Linked DNA regions of Schizosaccharomyces pombe. The gene in region 1 interacts genetically with each later gene. Each region holds a gene or a part of one and is shown in the gene's direction. Other genes may lie near its edges.

Region 1 (3,172 bases):
AAAGGAATTTAGATAAAATGTATTAATTAGATTAAGTAAGTTTTAACAAGGATCATACTATTGTGAAGCAAGAAAAACTAAACATTTTGAATCAAATGGGCGTTCTTTGCTTCATAAAGGACTAGCAAGTTGAGTTTGAGGCAGGAAAACTTGAAGTATTTAAAATCGTTTACACATCCAGATAGCCGCTTTGCAACCCATTTGAATGGCATTGGTAAGCAATGCATGAGCTGGAGCTTCCTTTGCGTTCCAACCTTCGACTGCAGTGTTCAAATGCTCTAGCTCGTCATCTCGAAACTCTGCCAAATGGCTACGAATCTCTTTAAATTCTGGAGCTTTATTTTCCAAATGAGCCGTTTCACGTAGTTGGTCGTTATAGTGTCCGCCAATTACCGTTTCTACTGCCTCTGTACAAGCCATAGCTGCTTTGGTTCCAAGCAAAGCAGTTCCTGCTCCCAACGCAAATCCAGCGATGTCCCAGAAAGGACGTAAAAAGGTAGGACGGACTCTATTCTTTAAGACATAATTATCAAATGTTGCGAGATGGTACTTTTCTTGATCCCACATATGCTGAATGGTAGGTGCGACTTTGGGATCGGTAAATTGAAGGATAAAGTGCTGACCTTTGTAAATTTGATTAGCGCCTAATTCACCTGCTTGATCGACACGAATGACGCTGTCCAAAATATTTGAGTCTTTCTCGCTCAGTTCTTTACGGCCCATCGAAATTCTACGGCATGTTATAGAGGAGCGAAGAAAAGGAGAAACCGACTTGGTAGCAATGGGTATTAACTGTCTACGTGACAACATCTTTTGTAATGGTAAAAAGGCCTGAAATTACACAGAGTTATCAATTTTCAAAACGAAATTTTACTAATCAACAATAAACCAATATTTCTAATTCACTAATAGATTGAAATATTCGACGAAAGAGACTATGATGTTGATTGGGTGTGGAGGATTAGAATGTGAAGTTCTCTACCAAACCGAACGTTTTAGGCGGAAATGCTTAGTTGAGTAACACGTTAGGCTTGAGGTGTATTTCATATCAATCTCTGAACAAATCTGCAAAATTCAAGCTAGATGGTTAAGTTAAGAAGGAATTAAATTTAAGTGATTTGATGTTCACTCTATTTTTATGGAATAAAATATTCGATAAACTTGTCGTTTATTCTTTTGCTTGATTAACGCAGTGAATACCAGTTGCTTCAACTTTATTTTTAAGTCAAAATGAAAAATACATACTTAGTTTTTAAACTAAGAGATTCAATAAACAGTGGCGTAATTTCAGGAAAGAAGCAATGTATCATTTTTTTCCTTAGCTAAATGGCTTTGCTACAGTTTCATAGTGTTCGTCAATCTTGACGGATATAGAAGTTCAATAATAAAATGCTTCTTATAAACAATAAAAAAAAAAAACATATTTAAGCTGCAGTTTTAAAGTAAACTCCAATTTCCTATCTTTTTTCCAACCAATTCAACTCAACATTGTATTTTCGCTTAAAAAACTTTAAATTAATTACTAGTTCAACCGAAGGGGAATCCGAAGATATACAAATTTCCAGTATTACTGATATAACAAGTACAAGTAGAGACTCAAAGACACCCCATCACAATTAATTTTTGACTTGCTTAATAATTCAAGAATGTAATTTGGCATTATGGATTAATTTTCTTTGTTATAGAAAAAAAGCTCCAGAACCACACCCACCTCCCCCATCGAAAATTTACAATTTGAAATATGCGAAATCAATCATTTCTTTCCTTTTTCTAATTTAATCTTTTAAACACAAATGAGTACTTATGTTTTTCAGGCCTTCTCTCATTATTTTATAAAATAGCAATATCGTTAAATTCCGTTGTATCAAAGACGTCGTTTGAATGAGCTTGATTCTTTACCCCAAACCAACTTCGTATTTATATCAACCTTTTATAAAAGCATATTTTTCGCTAAACATGGCCATTTTTGAAATCAATAATTCTTTTTTAATTTGTGCTGTATCTATTGCTTTGAACCCTCTGCTATGGAATATTGCTGCACGTTCAGAATACAATCATAAGACTTTGACCAAATTGGCAAATGGCGACTCTAAGAAGGCCTGTTACATGCTAGCAGCTTGTATTTTTGTTGCCGGAATAGTTCGTGACTTAATTTATCAGAATGCTTTAAAACAACAACCTACGCTAGGTATCTTCATGAACCCTCTTGTGCAGGGTATAGCTAAGCTCATTTTTTGTTTTGGCAGCGTCCTTGTCTTATCGAGTATGTATAAGCTAGGACTTGTTGGTACATATCTTGGTGATTACTTTGGATTTCTGCTTCCAGAGCGTGTTTCTGGTTTCCCATTTAATGTCAACGATAACCCAATGTACAACGGTTCTACTCTTTGTTTCCTTTCTACAGCTCTGCGTTATGGAAAAGTTGCTGGCCTCCTTTTAACTTTGGAAGTCTTTTTCGTTTATAGAATAGCTTTGAAATTTGAAGAGTAAGTTGCCAACTGTTTAAATTTTTAAATTTTTCTTTACTCTAACCATTAATAGACCTTTTACTGCTAAAATTTACGCTGCTCGTGATAGCAAGCAAGCTAAAAAATCCGAGTGAAGCAGCTGATTTGAAGTGGCCATAAGTTAAAGCTTCATTAGAGTTTTTTATAAAAAAAAAAAAAAAAGGAACAATTTTAAATGGAATGTTCTGTTCATGACTAGTCCTTACCTTTACTAACGCTCCTCCTTTAACCGATTTTGCCCTATGTACTTTGACGACTTCAACGTCTGTATAATTATGCATAGTTTAACGCTTTTTTTTTCAAATTATTTAAGTGTGTTGATCGCGGTCTCAACACCATGATCCGATATTTTTATATTCATACTTATGTAAAAAATAATCTAATATTTTACACCATGTAAATTAACGTGCTTTCATTCTAAAATCAAATAAAATTCAAAACAAATATATTAGCAAACCAAAAAAACCCCGTTTTGACCAATTTATATGTACAAAATCAAACTCTATAAATCCAATCGTTCAAGAGGAAAAACAGAGTACAATTTCTAATTTATTTTCCAGAACGTTTAATAGATTTGACAATGCGATCAAGTTCTTGACGTTGATCTCCTTTTTCAGCTTTACGCTTTTTGATTTTAAGCTCAGGCTTACCGTCTTGTGTTTGTT
Region 2 (4,146 bases), on another chromosome or scaffold:
GGCGCATAGGTCGGTTCAACAGCCGTATCTGTCGTTCCATGAATGATTTTTTATGTTCGTAAATATCCATTTAGGAAGTAAATTTGATTTAAATCAAGATTATCAGGATTAAAATAAAAACAGTTGAATACTGATCGAAAAACAAGTCAATATGGTATTGAAATTAACAAAGCAAGTTCACGCAAAGGCAACAAACTAACAGCGACTTTTGAGCATATAGACGTCTTCAGTGTAAGCACTTCCAAAATTAATTACTTAACAAAAAAAGACCAAATCAATCAGACCTTGGCTGATGGTTGATTAATGACAAATTTTGAGAAAGTTACAGGAGACTAAAGAAGTCGAAAAGTCGAGCGACTAAATAGAATACTTTGAATGATGTTAAAATGAAGATTTTATGTACATAATCATTAAGCTAGCTCCTTAGAAAGGACTCGTCTAATGCGAGTTAAAAAATTAGTGCATATATCAGTTCTAAGATATAGCGAAGAGAGTAATATTCTATGAAGGATGAACCCTAGAGTATAGTGTATTGTGAAGTTGACCTAGGATATACCATTAATATTGAATAGCATTAAACATATTTATTTATCCTTAAAACTAATAGCTTACAAAAAAATTCAGATTTACAAACAAGCACCCAGAATTGGTACATATACTCTACGGTGGTAAAACGTAAACGAAAGCTTGGTTTTTACAATGTAGTACCATTTAGGTTATTTCGAGCTAGTTGAGAAACAAAAACAAATGATGGTTTCCAAAATATAATGATAAAATATTCTCATAGGTTCACTAGCTAGATGGCAAGCCAAGAGTGGGACAAGTAGCTTTTGTAAAACATCATGAAGCTAGCAATCTAATCGTAGCTGTCAAATTGCAGATTCAAGTGTCAAGTAAATCAATATGTCCGGCTCTGTGTTACACTTCCATGCTCCTTCAACTATACACACTCGTTACTTTACAAATACAAAAATTATCTGTCTGTATTTCTCTTTACATAATTCATGTTTACGAACACGCAGCTCTACAACTGTTACTTTCACTACCAAATTTAGATATCTTGAAAAAACCTAGGTTTTTATGCGAATGTACAACGTTAGTCCAAACAAAGAAATTATTGAATAAGATAGAAGTGAAACCATCCATTGAACCCGCCTTTTTGCATCTCTTTACTTAAGAGGAATGAAACGAGAACTATGAGTGGCACCAATACCGGGACGACCGTGCTTAGTAGGCTTGTAAGTGATAGAGAACTCACCCAAGTAGTGACCAATCATTTCAGGACGAATCTCAACTTGGTTGAAGAGCTTACCGTTGTAAATACCAACGACAGAACCGACCATCTCGGGAAGGATGATCATGTTACGCAAATGGGTCTTAACAGTGGCGGGCTTCTCATTAAGAGGAGCTTCAGTCTTAGCCTTGCGGAGCTTACGGATGAAGCGAGAGGCATTGGGTCCAAGACCACGAAGCATACGACGACGAGCACGGGCATGGAACAAATCAACCAATTGCTCAGCAGAGAGATCCAAAAGCTGCTCAAGCTCAACACCACGGTAAGCAAAAGTACGGAAACTTCTCTTCTTTCTCAGTTCGGCAACGCGAACGGCTTCATCATGTTCTTCGGCCATGCTGTGTATTGGATTTTATGCCGTAGTTGGTGATGGTCAAACGTATCTTTTCTAGTGTTTCCTGCTACAAGTTTTGGTCACTATAAACAGTCACGTAAACCCTACCCTATAAAATTTCTTAGAGTTAAATAAAGGGGTACTGTATATATCGTTACGTTGCACAATCGCTTAGCTTTTGGGTATCAAACTTATGTGTGCGACTTACCAGAAACCATCATCGTATTGCATGTAGGAGGGTAATCATGTTTTTGTACTGATTATTTATGGTTTTTTGAGGAGGATTATTAAGAATTGATTGTATCTCATAATAAAATGGCAGGAACCCCATCATTTCAAAAATTAATGGCTTTAGCAGATAGCCAATCTGCCCAAGCCGCAGTTCAAATTGAACAATTGAGAAAGGCGCAGATCCGAGAGAAAGCACGGGAAATTACTGAAGAACGCAACAGGCAAAGGAAACTACAGCGTGAGCGTGAACTACGGCAGAAATATGAAGAAGAGCAAAGACGCCAGCAAGCTATGGAGGCGAAAAGAATAGCTGCATCGACAAGACAGACGTCGGAGCGGCCTCCCTTATCCGCTGAGGAAGCTAAAAGAATCCGTGAAGTAAAGGAGAAAGATCGGCTCGAAAGCAAAAAAAATGAGAGGCAGGGTAAACCTCGTTCGTATAATGAGCTTTTGCGACAGGCATCTTCTGCACCAGCTGTCAACGAGACGTCTTCCTCGGGGTTGCTTCAATCAAAAGATAAGAGAAGTCAATCACCGCACTCTCCTAAAAAACCTGTTAAGAATTCATCATCTAGAGATCAACCGGTTCGTAATAGTGGGGCTACTTCCACAGCTAGTCTACCACCCGCTGGTTTACGTGCAGGCCGTGGTTCTCAAATATCGGCATCTCTAGCATGGCTTAAGACGGGAGGTGCGTCTGCCGCTCCTAGCAATCCTCGACAACCACCTCCAACTTCAAATTTTTCTAATCGTAAAGCCCGCTATGCTTCAAATGGACTTGTGCAACTACAGACTGGACCAAAACGAGATAAACGTTCAGCCGGTGAAGTACAAGATGAAATTATGAAAAGGAGACAGAATTCTTCGATTTCTCAAGCTGCCACTCCTAGGACAGTCTCTAATTCTGAAACTTCATACGTAGGTTCACCTGCACTAAAGCAATCCAAACCAAATTCATTGAAGTCTAACAATACATCTCGTAAAACATCGGCCTCTTCAGCCATTACAAAACCCAAAGCAAGACCTCATACCTCAAGGCACGATGAGTTTGTTGTTTCCGATGACGACGAGTTGAACGATCGAGTTCCTGATGTTTCCTCCGAAATTTGGAAGATATTTGGTAAGAGGAAACAGGACTATGTTTCTCGCGACGTATTTAGTGACGAAGATGATATGGAGGCCACCGGACATGATGTTTGGCGTGAGGAACAAGCGGCAGCTCGCGCAGCACGTTTGGAAGATGAATTAGAAGAACAACGCGAACGGGAACGAGAATTGGCGAAAAAAAGAAGGAAAAATAAATAATCTTTTTGTATGTTACTCTAATATCTGTATCACTGCTCAATGATTTACAACTTCTTTCTTTTGTGATACATTTCGGTTTAATATTGTTTGTTTGATTTGTCTTCGTTAAGTCTCTTTTTTTTCCATGAAAAAGTTCATTCCTTTTGTTATTTATGTTGATGTCTCTAATAATTTATTTTGACGGTAGCCATTCTAATGGCTTAGTTGATTTACGCGTAATGTTTAATTAAAACCGAGTTAACACTTTATAAGTGTTTAATAATGCTTGAAATAGCAATACCTCATCATCATTATCTTTATTGCGAAATTAGTGTTTCCTTAAAGTGAATTTTAAGGTTAACTACAATTTTTATAATTGTTCGTCTACCGCAATAAGATGATGCTTTTACCCTACAATACCTAGTAATGACTTTCAGTATACACCTATTTAACCTTTTTTATCTTTTCGTGGATTATAATTGATCTTATTAAACAAAAAAGTGATAATATGAATAAAAATTGGTAACATAACGAATATGTTGAAATGGTTTTCTAAATTTAACTAGTGACTTTACCTTCGGCCTCGTGATGAGTTGAGGTACGTTGCAACTGCATAACAAAGTCTTCCAACTTTCTGGTAGTGCCACGTTCCTTATGTTTTCCGTGCATCCATCTGTCAAATGAAGAGGATTCTGAAAGTATATAATAAACTCCTGCTATAAGGCAGAAGATTCCAAAAGAATACATCCAAATGCGAATAACAGCGACAATGGACGTTTGATGGCCTCCTTTAAACCATCCAAAAATACAGAATAAGGTAGCTAAGATATCCACCACCAATACTGCACCGCTTAACTGCCATGATGGGAAGGAAGACCAGAAAGGACCGCTACATCGGGTTATGAAAATTAACCAATTTTCGGTCAAAGAAATTTGAAGGAACAAAACTTCATCTTGGACACCAAAATTCTGAACGATACCACGATTTTGACCTTGGGCAATC
Region 3 (5,225 bases), 2.0 Mb from region 1:
TGCTCATCTCTTTAATACTCATCCAGGTTTGGAGCCTTTAAATGAAGAGGAAAAGCCGGAGATTGAACCATTTGATGCAGAAGGTGAGCGTGAGGCACGTGTTTTTACCTTGTGGTTGAACTCTCTTGATGTTACTCCATCCATTCATGACTTCTTCAATAATTTACGAGATGGCTTGATTTTGTTGCAAGCTTACGATAAAATCACACCTAATACCGTTAACTGGAAAAAGGTGAACAAGGCACCTGCATCTGGAGATGAAATGATGCGTTTCAAAGCTGTTGAAAACTGTAATTATGCAGTGGACCTTGGAAAAAATCAAGGTTTTTCTTTGGTAGGAATACAAGGTGCTGATATTACTGACGGTTCTCGTACACTCACCTTAGCATTGGTTTGGCAAATGATGCGTATGAACATTACCAAAACTCTACATAGTCTTAGCCGTGGAGGTAAAACTCTTTCAGATAGTGACATGGTTGCGTGGGCCAATTCTATGGCTGCTAAAGGTGGTAAAGGTTCTCAAATTCGTTCATTCCGTGATCCTTCTATTTCCACTGGTGTGTTCGTCTTAGACGTACTTCATGGAATTAAGAGCGAATATGTTGATTACAATCTTGTTACCGATGGTTCTACTGAAGAACTTGCTATTCAAAATGGTATGTATATATATTTGATATATTTTTAATTTTCATTACTAACACATCGTTTAGCTCGTCTTGCTATTTCTATCGCCAGAAAGTTGGGTGCCGTAATCTTTATTTTGCCAGAAGATATTGTGGCCGTTCGTCCTCGGTTGGTCCTTCATTTTATTGGCAGTTTAATGGCCGTATAATTTGTTTCGACTTAACTATAGCTTTTAACGAAACGATTTAACACATGTGTTTTTCCCAATTTAATTACTTATATTGCGAACAACTTCGGAAGTGAGTACGTCGCTTTTGACTCGCTATGTTATTAGTGGTATGTCATATTATAGATAACTTTGTGTTGTTTTATGATACATCTTAACCCGTTTTTGTCCCTTTAGTATTGGGTAATCCTTATCCTAATTAATGTTTGAGGAATTCTGAAGCTGCACGACGAAACGTAGTCATTTTTTCTCAAACTGTAGAAAATAGTTAGCTTTTTAATTTCATAATGAAGGGAAGATCATTTGTATATGTAACTAATGGTAAGTCTCTGTAGGCCCAAATAGTACGGACTGCATATGCAAATCAGCTTTCTAAATAAAGCATTCGTTGGGAGAACGTTGGTCTACCAAGCCCTAATTTTCAAACACAATAAAAAGAAATAAAAATGTATATATGTCGATTAACATTTTTTACTTTAATAAAATATTCGGAATCTTATAACAATATTATTTATTATCAGATTACTTAACATAATACACATTACGTCCACCGTATATTGTCCAACTATGTCAGCAATACTACACTACGCTATGCTACACTACGTTGCGTATCACTATATGTCATATGTTGGAATACTAGCTAAGATCCGTTTATTGATAATCACGGGTAACTATCCTTCTATATACATAGATACCCGTTGATAACAACTATTTAGAAATATTATAAATAGCGTTACAACTGAACCTCGTTCCTCAGTTCAGTTATGAGCTATATTAGTGATAGGTAACATTATAACCCAGTTAATACAATACCTATACTCAGTTGCTACTTATACAACCTGTGTATTGTAATATAATAGACCACAAGGAAAACTCACCGCAGTTCTACGTATCCTTAAATCAGATACCAAACTGCGTAGCTTACAAACTACTTATAACCACCATTCAAAACAGGTTAAATCGTTATTGCCGATTGGACTTTAAAATACATATTGCTACCTTTACTGCTATCTAAGTTTAAATTCGAAGATGATTAAGCCAAAGAAGTTGTCGTCGTTGATGAAACAGGCAGTTGAGGAAACTGTACCGTCTATCATGTAAGCATTTAGTGAATTTGAAGTTCATTCTTACTTCAAATCCAGTGGGTACACCTGTACTATTTTGGAGCTTAGATATATAAGTTTATTGTTGAAATATTCTGAGGTATTAACAAACTAGGGTTTTTACCACTACTGGCTCGCTGCTAGCTTATGTTTCTTTTGAAGATCCTAAAGATGGTTTAAAACGTCTGGATTTAGCTAAAAGGGTTAGATCTATTGCGGCTTTAGCAGGCAACATGTATTCACTTTATACTGCAACCAACCCTAGCCCTTTGGTCGCGGAGTCTACAGACGACGTGATTGCTCATCAAAGAGATGTACTTTTTGAAACAATAATTGAGTTTGAAAGGGGGAAATTATTAATAGCCGCCATTTCAATTGATGGGGCTGAAGATAAACTTTACTCCAAAGACCCATTATTATTAGGGATTGTTGGAACAGAAAACGCAAAGGAAGGAATGATGCAAATCAAATCTGAACTTTTGAAAGAGTGTATCACCAATGAGCTTTCCACGCTTGGAAAACCAGTCTAACTTATTTTAAATCTATTTTGATTTAAACTCGATAATGTTTGGAGCTTTACTTGCATTGTTTGTTACAATCATAGGCTTAAGCCTGACCTTGGTTTAAGAAAAGAATGCTACAACACATCATTATATTGTTAATTTTCTCTTCCCTTTTAGCAGATTATTTTGAATTTTTCATTTGGACAAAGGATATATTGATTTTACGGTTTATTTGAATGTTTGAACTTGCTTTCTGGAATTTTTGAGACATCCTTAAAACTTGAACTAACGTTAATTTGTCCGAATTGGGCGTCGGATTAGCAAAAACAAATCATCTAAACCCTGGAAATTTTCATCTTTCTCTGCAAATCTTCTATGATGTTTTCCGCCCAAATGCTATCGATGTGTTAGTGCTGTTTTTGCTATGATTGGTTTAACTTACCCTTTCCAAGTCCTTGTATCTCTCACAGCAGTTTTCACAATATCCTGATTTTGTTTCGATTTTCACCTTCTTGTGAGCTAGAGGATCTGCATCGAAGGCATTAGGTGGTTGTCGAGGACTTTGGTTAGCCAAGGTGTTTTGTTTGTTTATTAAACGAGGTTCAAGAAGGTTAAGTGGAGACATTGCGGCGCGTTTCTCTACCGGTAAGAGGTTTTCTGGCTTTGGAAACTCTGTCGGCATTTGTTTTGCACCATCAACTGCTGATTCTGTGATATTATAGTCCCCCATGATTTGACGCACCAACACACTCGCTGAATTTTTAACAACGTTATTTTGGTTAGTTTGATTAGTGCAACTTAAGAGCTGTTTTCTGATTTCGTGAGCTGGATGGTTATGTTTTGTGATTTTTAACTCCCTTCTTCTACCAGTATTAAATGGACATCTTCCTTGTGCGGTTATAGCAAGACTTGGCCATAAGATCTCTCCAGAATCCAATGTTTTCTCCCATTCTCGTACTGCAATTGGCTTATAGTATTGTGATAAATCTCTAATGCAGAGGAAGTATTCACGAAAGTACTCGACGTTTTTGCTTGGCACGTAAAAGTCTTTGTCTGATGTACCATACACTTTTTCACCGTCTAGGAGAGATTGCAAGCACGAAGCTGAGGTATTAACCAGGCTATCAGAGTTGAGTAATGTAAAGAGGATTCTGTTCAATAGTTCTAAGAAAGTTAGCGAAGGTTACACTGATATATTAAGAAGACTTACTGTCCAGGAGCCAAATTTTCATATTGGCAGTTTTCGAAAGGTAAAGTACATCATTCGGCTGGCACATTTCTGGGTCGGTAGTCCTGGTGGTAATGAAATGTGTAACTTCAAAAGTAAATAATGTTGCTACTTTCTATATATGTGTTAGTTTTGATCTGCGCAAGTTCTTGCATGAACTACTTACGGCTCCAAGATTATTAATCTTTTGCGTAACACGACGCTTGATTTCCTCATCAACGTTGTCAAAGTAAAATATAAAGTTGGGAAACGCCAATCGATAATCTCTTTGCCAGTAACGAAGTTTGGAAACTCGAATGCTGGTTCTTGGTATATCCTTGTTTCGCGTTAGGGAAGGTTTTACACAGTAGTTTGAAAAAGCAGTGGGTGGGAGAGCCATCTTTGCTGTGGCTTTAGCAGAGTCAAAGGCATTTTGATGAGGCATGTGCGTTTGTTGTTGAGGGTACCAGTCGGAGCATGAAGTTGCGCAAGCTGCAGTTTGACACAGTTCTTTGTCCGAAGTTTCTGTTTTATAGCTAAGAGGATTTTGAATATCTCTCTTTACTTCTTCGTTTATATTTTGTATACTGGGATTTTGGTCGACTAGAGGAGATCGAACAAACGGCTGAGACTTCACTGAATAGAAGTCCATACTCTTCCGGATTGACTCGGAAAGATTTTTAGGAAGAAGAAGTATGTATATATATTCCTTGGGAGGCTGATGAATTCACCTGTTGGTTAATCCTACTTATGTCTGGCTTTAATATTCAGCAATGGCCTCGGTAAGCAAGATGCAGGTTTTCCTCTAGAAGTAAAAAGATAAACCTATCTTTTTTTCTGTGGAAGTTTGGAGGAGTATCCTGGATATATATACAATTTGATTTTGTTTGTTTACTCAAATATTTTCTCATATTCACCTAGTATTGTTTGTAAACAAAAGCCTCGCCTCGCGTATTAAGCCAGTAAATTAAACGCGCGACACGTCGCGTTGCGTATCACATTCATACTAAATAAATAAGCTACTTTGGCTCCATTTGATAGTTTTGCTGGGTTCCTTTGTAAAAATTTTTTTAGTATTCATATGATTAGAAAATATATATTTACTTGATTCAAGCTTGTAAAATAAACATAGACCCAATTTTAAATAAATAGGTACCTAAAAGTCTAGGTAACATTGTTACACTGACACGTGAGAACTTTGTAGTTAATTAATCGTCAACATAACGAAAACAACTCAAAGCAATTCCCGTAACTGTCCATTTAGGAATTAACCAAAAAAACAAACAAACAAAATCTATTTTTATTCCAATGATACTTTTATGACTCACCAAGGCGTTAATAATTGCGAAAACACATACCAATATGTTTACAATTATTTTTTTAACGAAATTCGTTAAATACTTCATGGCATTTGAGAAGTTGTATGGCAATCGTATTTAACGGAGACTTTTTCATATTCAGTATCCCTTTTCATTTGGAACTTTAAGGTTTTCCCAGCTGAGAGTTCGTTTACATCATTTTATTAGATTTTTACTTGCAACTTGGGTTCGACTTTTAGTTCA
Region 4 (7,869 bases), 2.7 Mb from region 1:
CAACCATGTATTTTGTATCGAGATAAATAATTGAATATGAAATTCTACCTATATGCTTAATAAAATCAAAAATTGCCTCGCATAAACAAAAAAAAACTCGGTGATTAAATACACCGAATCACTTGGTTAGCCGCAAGGCAATATGAAGTGGATTGTAATGTGTTTGTTTACTAATCCATTACACCAATTTTCTTGCACACATTCACATGCAGCACAATAAGGAAAATCATTTTGTAGAGGATGCAAAGCAATTCCAAGAAAAAGCAAAACTCTATCAAGGAAACTACTATACACTGGATGGAGAATTAATCACCATAATACCTAGCTCGAAGGAGGGCTTTCGATCATGCAAATCGCTTTATTATAAGAAGAAGCAACCTATACCGGGAAGGTAATAAAATATAGATGCAGCTGCATCTGCAGCATATTGATGGCGTGCTTGCACATACTCCTCAACCCTTCAAACTTTTACTTCAATAAACGAAGGGTACCAAACCACTACCTTTCTTGAACTATTTTATCAAAGAAATGCATAATAGCATTAACGAATAATGAAAATTACTACCAAACCATTTTGCTTGCCAACAACAATTGAGTTTGTGTAACTTGATATATACTAGAAGATAAATCTAAACTATAGAAAAATCTGTAACGAAAAAAGCCCGATAGTTTTCTCGCTCCAACAAACTCAATAATTTTACAATCTTTAAAAAAATCTCCTTTACAAGTTTATAAAGTGAACCATTCATGCTATGAGCATCAACGAAGAGTGTGTATGCTCATTGAAACATGCTAGACTTTTTCAACAAGTAATCTACTCTATAACATAAAAGCAATCCGGAATGCAAACAACGTGTCATGAAAAGATCAGATTAAAGATAATGATAGAAGAACAATTTCATGGACTCTAGGAACAGGCGCAGAAAAATTAACAAGGTTTTGATATTCAATCGATAATTGCAGCAAACAAAATGCAAGAATACCAACTTGAAAAAATATGATATAATTTGGGCATTGGGAAGAAAGGAAAACCAAACAAATGAATTTATAAAATAATTAAGCTATTATACAGCAAGAATTTTGCTTTTTAGCAGATTTATAAAACATTCGAGACTGTGTAGATAAGTTATCACTACGTTGGATCAAGTCGTCCAACTTCTCTCCTCTAGCTAAGACACTCTCGATTGTTTTATGAAGTACATCTTTAGTTTCATCCAATTCTTGTTGCACTCGCATAATCGTATCAGCCTGCTTGGGGTCTTGATATTTTGATAGATAGGTATCCAATTCTGGAAAGGATAGGGTAACAGCACCAGATTCCCATTTGGTGCGAGGATTTTTTGTCAAAAATTCGTCTAGAATCTTATTTAGAAGAGTATAAGCAACACGTAAAGGGTATTCCTTGTCACTAGCAATCACACCGCACAACCCATCCGATCGGTTGTACACATGAAAAACGTAATTGGACTGTTCAACGTCTTGTCTTTGCCCTGGATTAGTACGTTCTGCAACAGTCTTTGTAAAAAAATTCATGAACTCTCCGATGCTGAAATATTTGTTAACAAACTACTCTTCAATTAAATCTTGCACATACGATGATCGTTGAAAAAATGAGAAACTAGATAAGTCTGAGGCAGTGCATAATAATTGCACTGGTTTTGGGTCAAAGCGGAGTATAGAGACAGAATACAGCTTCATTCTGTAAATATGCTGTAAATCAAGTTAATGGTGTGGGTTAAGTTTGTTTCTGCTTTGGTTGAAAACGCCATACTTCTTGCAATCGTATGTACACACATAATACCTTCGACTACGGTATTTTTCTATTACACAAATAATAGGTAGTGGCCATTTGTTTACAAACCATCCCCTACACTACTAGCAGTGCTAAATTGGGTAGTATATTGGATACAATCCTATAAAAGCAATAAAAATTCAAATTTTTTCTGTTTAAGGAGGTTTTAATTTCAACGATCTATCCTTTTACAGTTTTCATGGAAGTTGAGTTAAATTATGTAGTGAATCACTTAGAAAAGCTAGGTCCTGCTAGTTTTTGTGATACTCCATATAGCTTTTCGCTGAGTGATTCGAATGCTGAGCTAGGTGCTTTATCGTTAAAAGTTGACGAAATTTTGAAAACAAATTATAATTTAATCAATCCCGAGGACGTTACTGACTCCGACAATAATGAATTTGCTCTTAAAGATTTAACTTGGCTGCAAAATTGCTGCAATGAAATTTCTCAATCTTCAAGTACTGAACTTGATGCTTCAGTACTATTTGAAGCAGTCATTATGAGCCTAAAAGCGACTGAAGATCAATGTGCCATTCAAGAAGATTTACTGAATCTTGTTGGACTTGATCATATTGACTTGATTTCAGATATCGTCGCTAATTCGTCCAATTTAATAGAAGAATACATGAATCAAAATGATACTTCAATTGCTGCGCAACTTTCTGATGGCTATACCTCTGAAGCTGGTTCTTCTGCTACGCATGGTCAGGGATTATTAGACAGTTTAAAAAGTAGGCCGAGAAGATTTAGTCGGTCTCGTGATAACAGAGGTCCTTTATTTACTGGACAGCAAGTTTTTGAAGTGGAAAAATATCCTCATGTGTATGGGGATAAAAGGCTTGGTAATACTATTAGCGTCATTGGGAAAAAGTTTGCATTACCGGCTGGTAGTGAAAGAGAAGATTACCAGAAATATGAAGAGATTATTGTTCCTCATGCTCAGCGTGCTCCACAAATGCAAGGGGAAAAGTTGTTAGAAATTTCTTCGATGGATATTCTTTGTCGAAAAACATTCCTTAGCTACCAAACTTTGAACAGAATCCAATCGCTTGTCTATCCTATCGCCTACAAGACAAACGAGAATATGTTAATTTGTGCACCTACAGGTGCAGGAAAAACTGATGTTGCTCTGCTCGCAATGTTGCAAACAATCTCCAACTATGTAGAAAGTATGAATCTTATGGATGAATCGGAACCTCTAGATGTTCATAGAGATGATTTTAAGATTGTCTACATTGCTCCTATGAAGGCATTGGCTGCTGAGGTTGTAGAGAAAATGGGAAAACGTCTCGCTTGGTTGGGATTGAAAACTAGAGAACTTACTGGTGATATGCAACTAACCAAAACGGAAATAGCAGAAACTCAGATACTTGTTACAACACCTGAAAAATGGGACGTAGTTACTAGAAAAAGCGTCGGCGACACTCAGTTAGCCGAGAAAGTACGTTTGGTTATCATTGATGAAGTACATATGCTTCATGATGAACGTGGTGCTGTTATTGAATCACTTGTCGCTAGGACACAAAGGCTGGTAGAAACAAGTCAACAGATGATTAGAATTGTTGGTCTTTCTGCCACACTTCCAAACTACCTTGATGTAGCTGATTTTTTAGGCGTCAATAGGTACAAGGGATTGTTTTATTTTTCATCTGCATTTCGTCCATGCCCTATTGAACAGCATTTCATCGGTGCTAAAGGTTCTCCTAAAATAGTAAACTCAAATATTGATGAAGCTTGTTTTGATAAAGTTTTGAAACTGATTCAGGAAGGCCATCAGGTAATGATATTTGTACATTCTAGGAAGGAAACCATTAATTCAGCTAAGAAGTTGAGGGAACAATTTTTCCATGAGGGAGAGGCTGATTTGTTGGACAACTCACAACATGAAAAATATAGTCTAGCTCAAAGAGATGTTTCAAAGTCAAAAAACAAAGAGTTAAAAGAACTTTTCAAATACAGTATGGGGATTCACAACGCTGGCATGTTACGATCGGACCGACATCTTACTGAACGTTTGTTTTCTATGGGTATTCTTAAAATTTTATGCTGTACTGCTACCCTAGCATGGGGTGTTAATTTACCGGCTTATGCTGTATTAATTAAAGGAACTCAGCTTTATGATCCACAAAAGGGTTCTTTTGTAGATCTTGGCGTGTTGGACGTTTTACAAATATTCGGTCGTGCTGGTCGTCCTCAGTTTGAAAGTTCGGCAGTCGCGTACATAATTACGACACATGATAAACTTTCTCATTACATCTCCGTTGTAACACAACAAAGCCCTATTGAATCTCGTTTCACCGATAGATTGGTTGACAACTTAAACGCTGAAGTTTCTTTAGGAACGGTAACTAATATTGACGAAGCTGTATCGTGGTTAGGTTATACTTATCTTTATATCAGGATGAGACGTAATCCACTTGTATACGGTATTGCTTATGACGAACTTGTTGAGGATCCTTTACTAGGCAGCAAGCGAAGAGAATTGGTATCTGTAGCGGCAGGAAGGCTGGCAGATAATCAAATGATCGTTTACAATAAGAAAAACGGATACCTGATTCCTAAAGATTTAGGTAGAATCGCGTCCAATTACTATATCAATTATCAAACTGTCTCAACATTAAATAATTTATTGAAAAGCAAAATGTCGGAAGCAGACATTATAGCTCTTTTGAGCCAATGCAGCGAGTTTTCCCAAATCAAATCGAGAGAAAATGAGCATCGTGAGCTTGAATCACTAATGGAAAACAGTAGTCCTTGTCAGTTGAGGGATAGTATTTCGAATACATCAGGAAAAGTTAACGTTATTCTGCAGTCATACATTTCTCGTGCGCATGTAGAAGATTTTACCCTAACATCAGATACAAATTATGTTGCACAAAACGCGGGTCGAATAACTAGGGCTCTTTTCGAAATTGCAATGTCAAGGACTTGGGCCTCGGCATTTACTATCCTTAGCTTAAACAAGTCAATTGATAGGAGGCAGTGGTCTTTTGAACACCCCTTACTTCAGTTTGATCTTCCACATGACCTTGCAGTCAAAGTGGAAAATCAGTGTGGGTCTTTATCATTAGAAGAATTGTCGGACATGTCTACAGGAGAACTTGGTGATCTTATTCATAACCGAAAAATGGGCCCTACAGTTAAAAAATTTATTTCCAAATTACCTCTTTTAAACATTAATGTTGATTTGCTACCTTTAACGAAAAACGTTTTGCGACTTGTATTAAATATCACTCCCAATTTTAATTGGGACATGAGATATCATGGAAACAGTCAAATGTTTTGGATATTTGTTGAAGATAGTAACGGTCTTGAGATTCTTCATCATGAACAGTTGCTCCTAAATAAACGGAACGTTAGCACTTCTCATTTACTATCCTTTACCATACCTGTGTCTAATCCATTACCCTCACAACTATACATTATTGCAGTATCAGATAAATGGCTAGGCGCTGAAACAGTTACCCCGGTTTCTCTTTCTAATGTTGTTTTTCATGACGATTCCAATCCCATTACAGAATTATTGGATCTTCAACCTTTACCAATTACGGCTTTGCACGATCCAGTGCTAGAAGGTATATGCGCTAAAAGATTCTCGTTTTTTAATGCAGTCCAAACTCAATTTTTTCACACTATTTATCACACCGATACAAATATTTTCGTTGGTGCACCTACTGGATCTGGTAAAACTATGGCCGCAGAATTAGCTACTTGGAGAGCTCTTCACAATTATCCTAAGTCGAAAGTAGTTTATATTGCTCCAATGAAAGCTTTAGTCAAGGAAAGAGTAAAGGACTGGGGACACAGGTTAGTTGAACCAATGGGGATTAGTATGATTGAATTAACTGGTGATACTAACCCGGATGTTAAGGCTGTTACGAATGCAAATATCATAATTACAACACCGGAAAAATGGGATGGTATTACTAGAAGTTGGAAATCTAGGAAGTATGTTCAGGATGTCTCATTAATTATCCTTGACGAAATCCATTTATTAGGTAGCGATCGAGGTCCTGTCCTTGAAATGATTGTCTCCCGAATGAATTATGTTGCTTCTCAAACTAATAAGAAAGTTAGAGTTCTTGGTTTATCTACTGCTGTTGCTAACGCTAACGATCTTGCAAATTGGCTTAACATAAGAGATGGTCTATTTAATTTTAGGCATTCCGTGCGCCCAGTTCCTTTAGAAATATATATCGATGGATTCCCTGGTAGAGCCTATTGCCCAAGGATGATGTCGATGAATAAGCCTGCTTTTCAAGCCATCAAAACGCACTCTCCTACCCAACCTGTTTTAATTTTTGTTTCGTCGCGCCGTCAAACTAGATTAACTGCAAAAGATTTGATAGCTTTTTGTGGTTTAGAAGACAATCCTAGGAGATTTTTGTACATGGATGAAGAAGAATTAGAAATGATTGTTTCAGAAGTTGAAGATAAAAGCCTCAAGTTGGCTTTACCATTTGGTATAGCACTTCACCATGCTGGTTTGACTGAAAATGATAGAAAAATTTCCGAAGAGCTTTTTGTAAATAATAAAGTTCAGATTCTCATCGCCACCAGCACTCTTGCATGGGGTGTAAATACGCCGGCACATTTGGTAATTGTGAAAGGAACAGAGTATTACGATGCTAAAATTGGAGGCTATAAAGACATGGATTTGACGGATGTGCTTCAAATGTTAGGGCGTGCAGGACGACCACAATTTGACAATTCTGGTGTGGCACGTATATTTGTACAGGATATTAAGAAGTCGTTTTATAAGCACTTTCTACATAGTGGATTTCCAGTAGAGTCTTATTTACATAAAGTATTGGATAACCATTTAAATGCCGAGATTGCTACGGGCACTATAGATTGCATACAGGGTGCAATGGATTTTTTAACGTGCACTTACTTCTATCGAAGAGTTCATCAAAATCCCGTTTATTACGGTGCTGATGGAGATGACCAAAAGAGTATAGATACTTATTTATCGAAACTTGTTGTGACTGCATTTAATGAACTTGAAAAGTCAGCTTGCATATATCGTGTCAACGAAGAAACCTATGCACCTACAACTTTGGGTCGTATAGTTAGTTACTATTATCTTTTTCATACCACCATCAGAAACTTCGTTCAAAAAATAACTGAGAACGCTGAGTTCGATCTTGCGTTGCAATTGCTTGCTGAAGCATCTGAGTTTGACGATCTCGCTATTCGTCACAACGAAGATTTGATAAACATAGAGATTAATAAATCTCTGAAATATTCGGCTGCTTGCCTAAACCTTCCTATGGTCGATGCTCATGTTAAGGCATTTATATTAACTCAAGCTCACATGGCAAGATTGAAACTTCCAGTGGATGATTATGTTACTGATACTAGCACGGTTTTAGATCAGGTTATTCGTATTATACAGTCTTATATTGATGTGTCCGCTGAGCTAGGCTACTCCCATGTCTGTTTACAGTACATATCTCTAATGCAGTGTCTTAAACAGGCTTGCTATCCGAGTGAGATTTACAGAGCTTCATTACCTGGACTTAATGCGTCTAGTGAAAAGGAAGCAAGAGATTATCTCAACAAATTTGCAGGAAATAAAACTGATGAGTTATATCAAATGCTATGTAATGACCCTAACGTTTTTGATATAGAAAGTCTGGTCAATAGTTTAATTTCGTATCCTAAAATGAACATTGAAGTTTCTCAATCGTCTTCAGATAAGCTACTCCTTTATCTACGACGCCTCAATCAGCCGCTCAACCCCGATTTTTACATTTTTGCGCCGTTGTTCCCTAAACCTCAAAGTGAGGGATTTTTCGTTCTCATCATAGATTCAGAAACTCAAGAACTGTTCGCGATACGTCGGGCCTCATTTGCTGGGCGAAGAAACGATGATTCAATTCGTTTATCCCTTCGGATTTCAATGGATATTCCACCAACTTGCCGCAACAGAAATGTAAAAGTCATGGTTGTTTGTGATGGATACCCATTAATTTACGAACATAAAATTGTATTGATGATTTAATGAAGCTTTTGTAGAAAAATAGAAGGCTTTAAGCCAATTTCCTTATTATATTTAAGTCTGTTTAATAAAA

Evidence for each region.
Region 2: mutations in cho1 (region 1) and spt2 together harm fitness less than expected from each alone (positive genetic interaction), as found in Schizosaccharomyces pombe (one large-scale study listed by BioGRID).
Region 3: mutations in cho1 (region 1) and lam2 together harm fitness more than expected from each alone (negative genetic interaction), as found in Schizosaccharomyces pombe (one large-scale study listed by BioGRID).
Region 4: mutations in cho1 (region 1) and rqt2 together harm fitness more than expected from each alone (negative genetic interaction), as found in Schizosaccharomyces pombe (one large-scale study listed by BioGRID).

What each region holds. Positions count from the first base shown.
Region 1 is NC_003423.3:1,056,466-1,059,637, forward strand, and holds cho1 (putative phosphatidyl-N-methylethanolamine N-methyltransferase), read left to right. Parts: upstream 1-1,898; 5' UTR 1,899-1,956; coding exon 1,957-2,486; exon of another isoform or gene 2,487-2,503; intron 2,504-2,541; coding exon 2,542-2,602; 3' UTR 2,603-2,661; downstream 2,662-3,172. Other genes in the region: ubiquinone biosynthesis protein Coq7, read right to left, coding at 160-810; pre-rRNA processing protein Esf1, read right to left, coding at 3,057-3,172. UniProt on the Schizosaccharomyces pombe protein: Catalyzes the second two steps of the methylation pathway of phosphatidylcholine biosynthesis, the SAM-dependent methylation of phosphatidylmonomethylethanolamine (PMME) to phosphatidyldimethylethanolamine (PDME) and of PDME to phosphatidylcholine (PC).
Region 2 is NC_003421.2:795,767-799,912, reverse strand, and holds spt2 (histone H3-H4 chaperone Spt2), read left to right. Parts: upstream 1-1,837; 5' UTR 1,838-1,943; coding exon 1,944-3,164; 3' UTR 3,165-3,612; downstream 3,613-4,146. Other genes in the region: protein Fta4, read right to left, coding at 1-70; rps1501 (40S ribosomal protein uS19), read right to left, coding at 1,170-1,631; P3-type proton ATPase Pma2, read right to left, coding at 3,702-4,146. UniProt on the Schizosaccharomyces pombe protein: Histone chaperone that stabilizes pre-existing histone tetramers and regulates replication-independent histone exchange on chromatin.
Region 3 is NC_003423.3:3,102,374-3,107,598, reverse strand, and holds lam2 (guanyl-nucleotide exchange factor Lam2), read left to right. Parts: upstream 1-1,812; 5' UTR 1,813-1,879; coding exon 1,880-1,947; intron 1,948-2,068; coding exon 2,069-2,483; 3' UTR 2,484-2,747; coding exon of another isoform or gene 2,748-2,852; 3' UTR 2,853-2,898; coding exon of another isoform or gene 2,899-3,620; 3' UTR 3,621-3,666; coding exon of another isoform or gene 3,667-3,799; 3' UTR 3,800-3,850; coding exon of another isoform or gene 3,851-4,315; 3' UTR 4,316-4,697; downstream 4,698-5,225. Other genes in the region: fim1 (fimbrin), read left to right, coding at 1-656, 711-832; Spo4-Spo6 kinase complex regulatory subunit Spo6, read right to left, coding at 2,748-2,852, 2,899-3,620, 3,667-3,799, 3,851-4,315.
Region 4 is NC_003423.3:3,743,998-3,751,866, reverse strand, and holds the start of rqt2 (ATP-dependent RNA helicase), read left to right. Parts: upstream 1-1,857; 5' UTR 1,858-1,991; coding exon 1,992-7,799; 3' UTR 7,800-7,869. Other genes in the region: protein smp2, read left to right, coding at 207-395; SNARE protein Ykt6, read right to left, coding at 1,057-1,546, 1,595-1,698.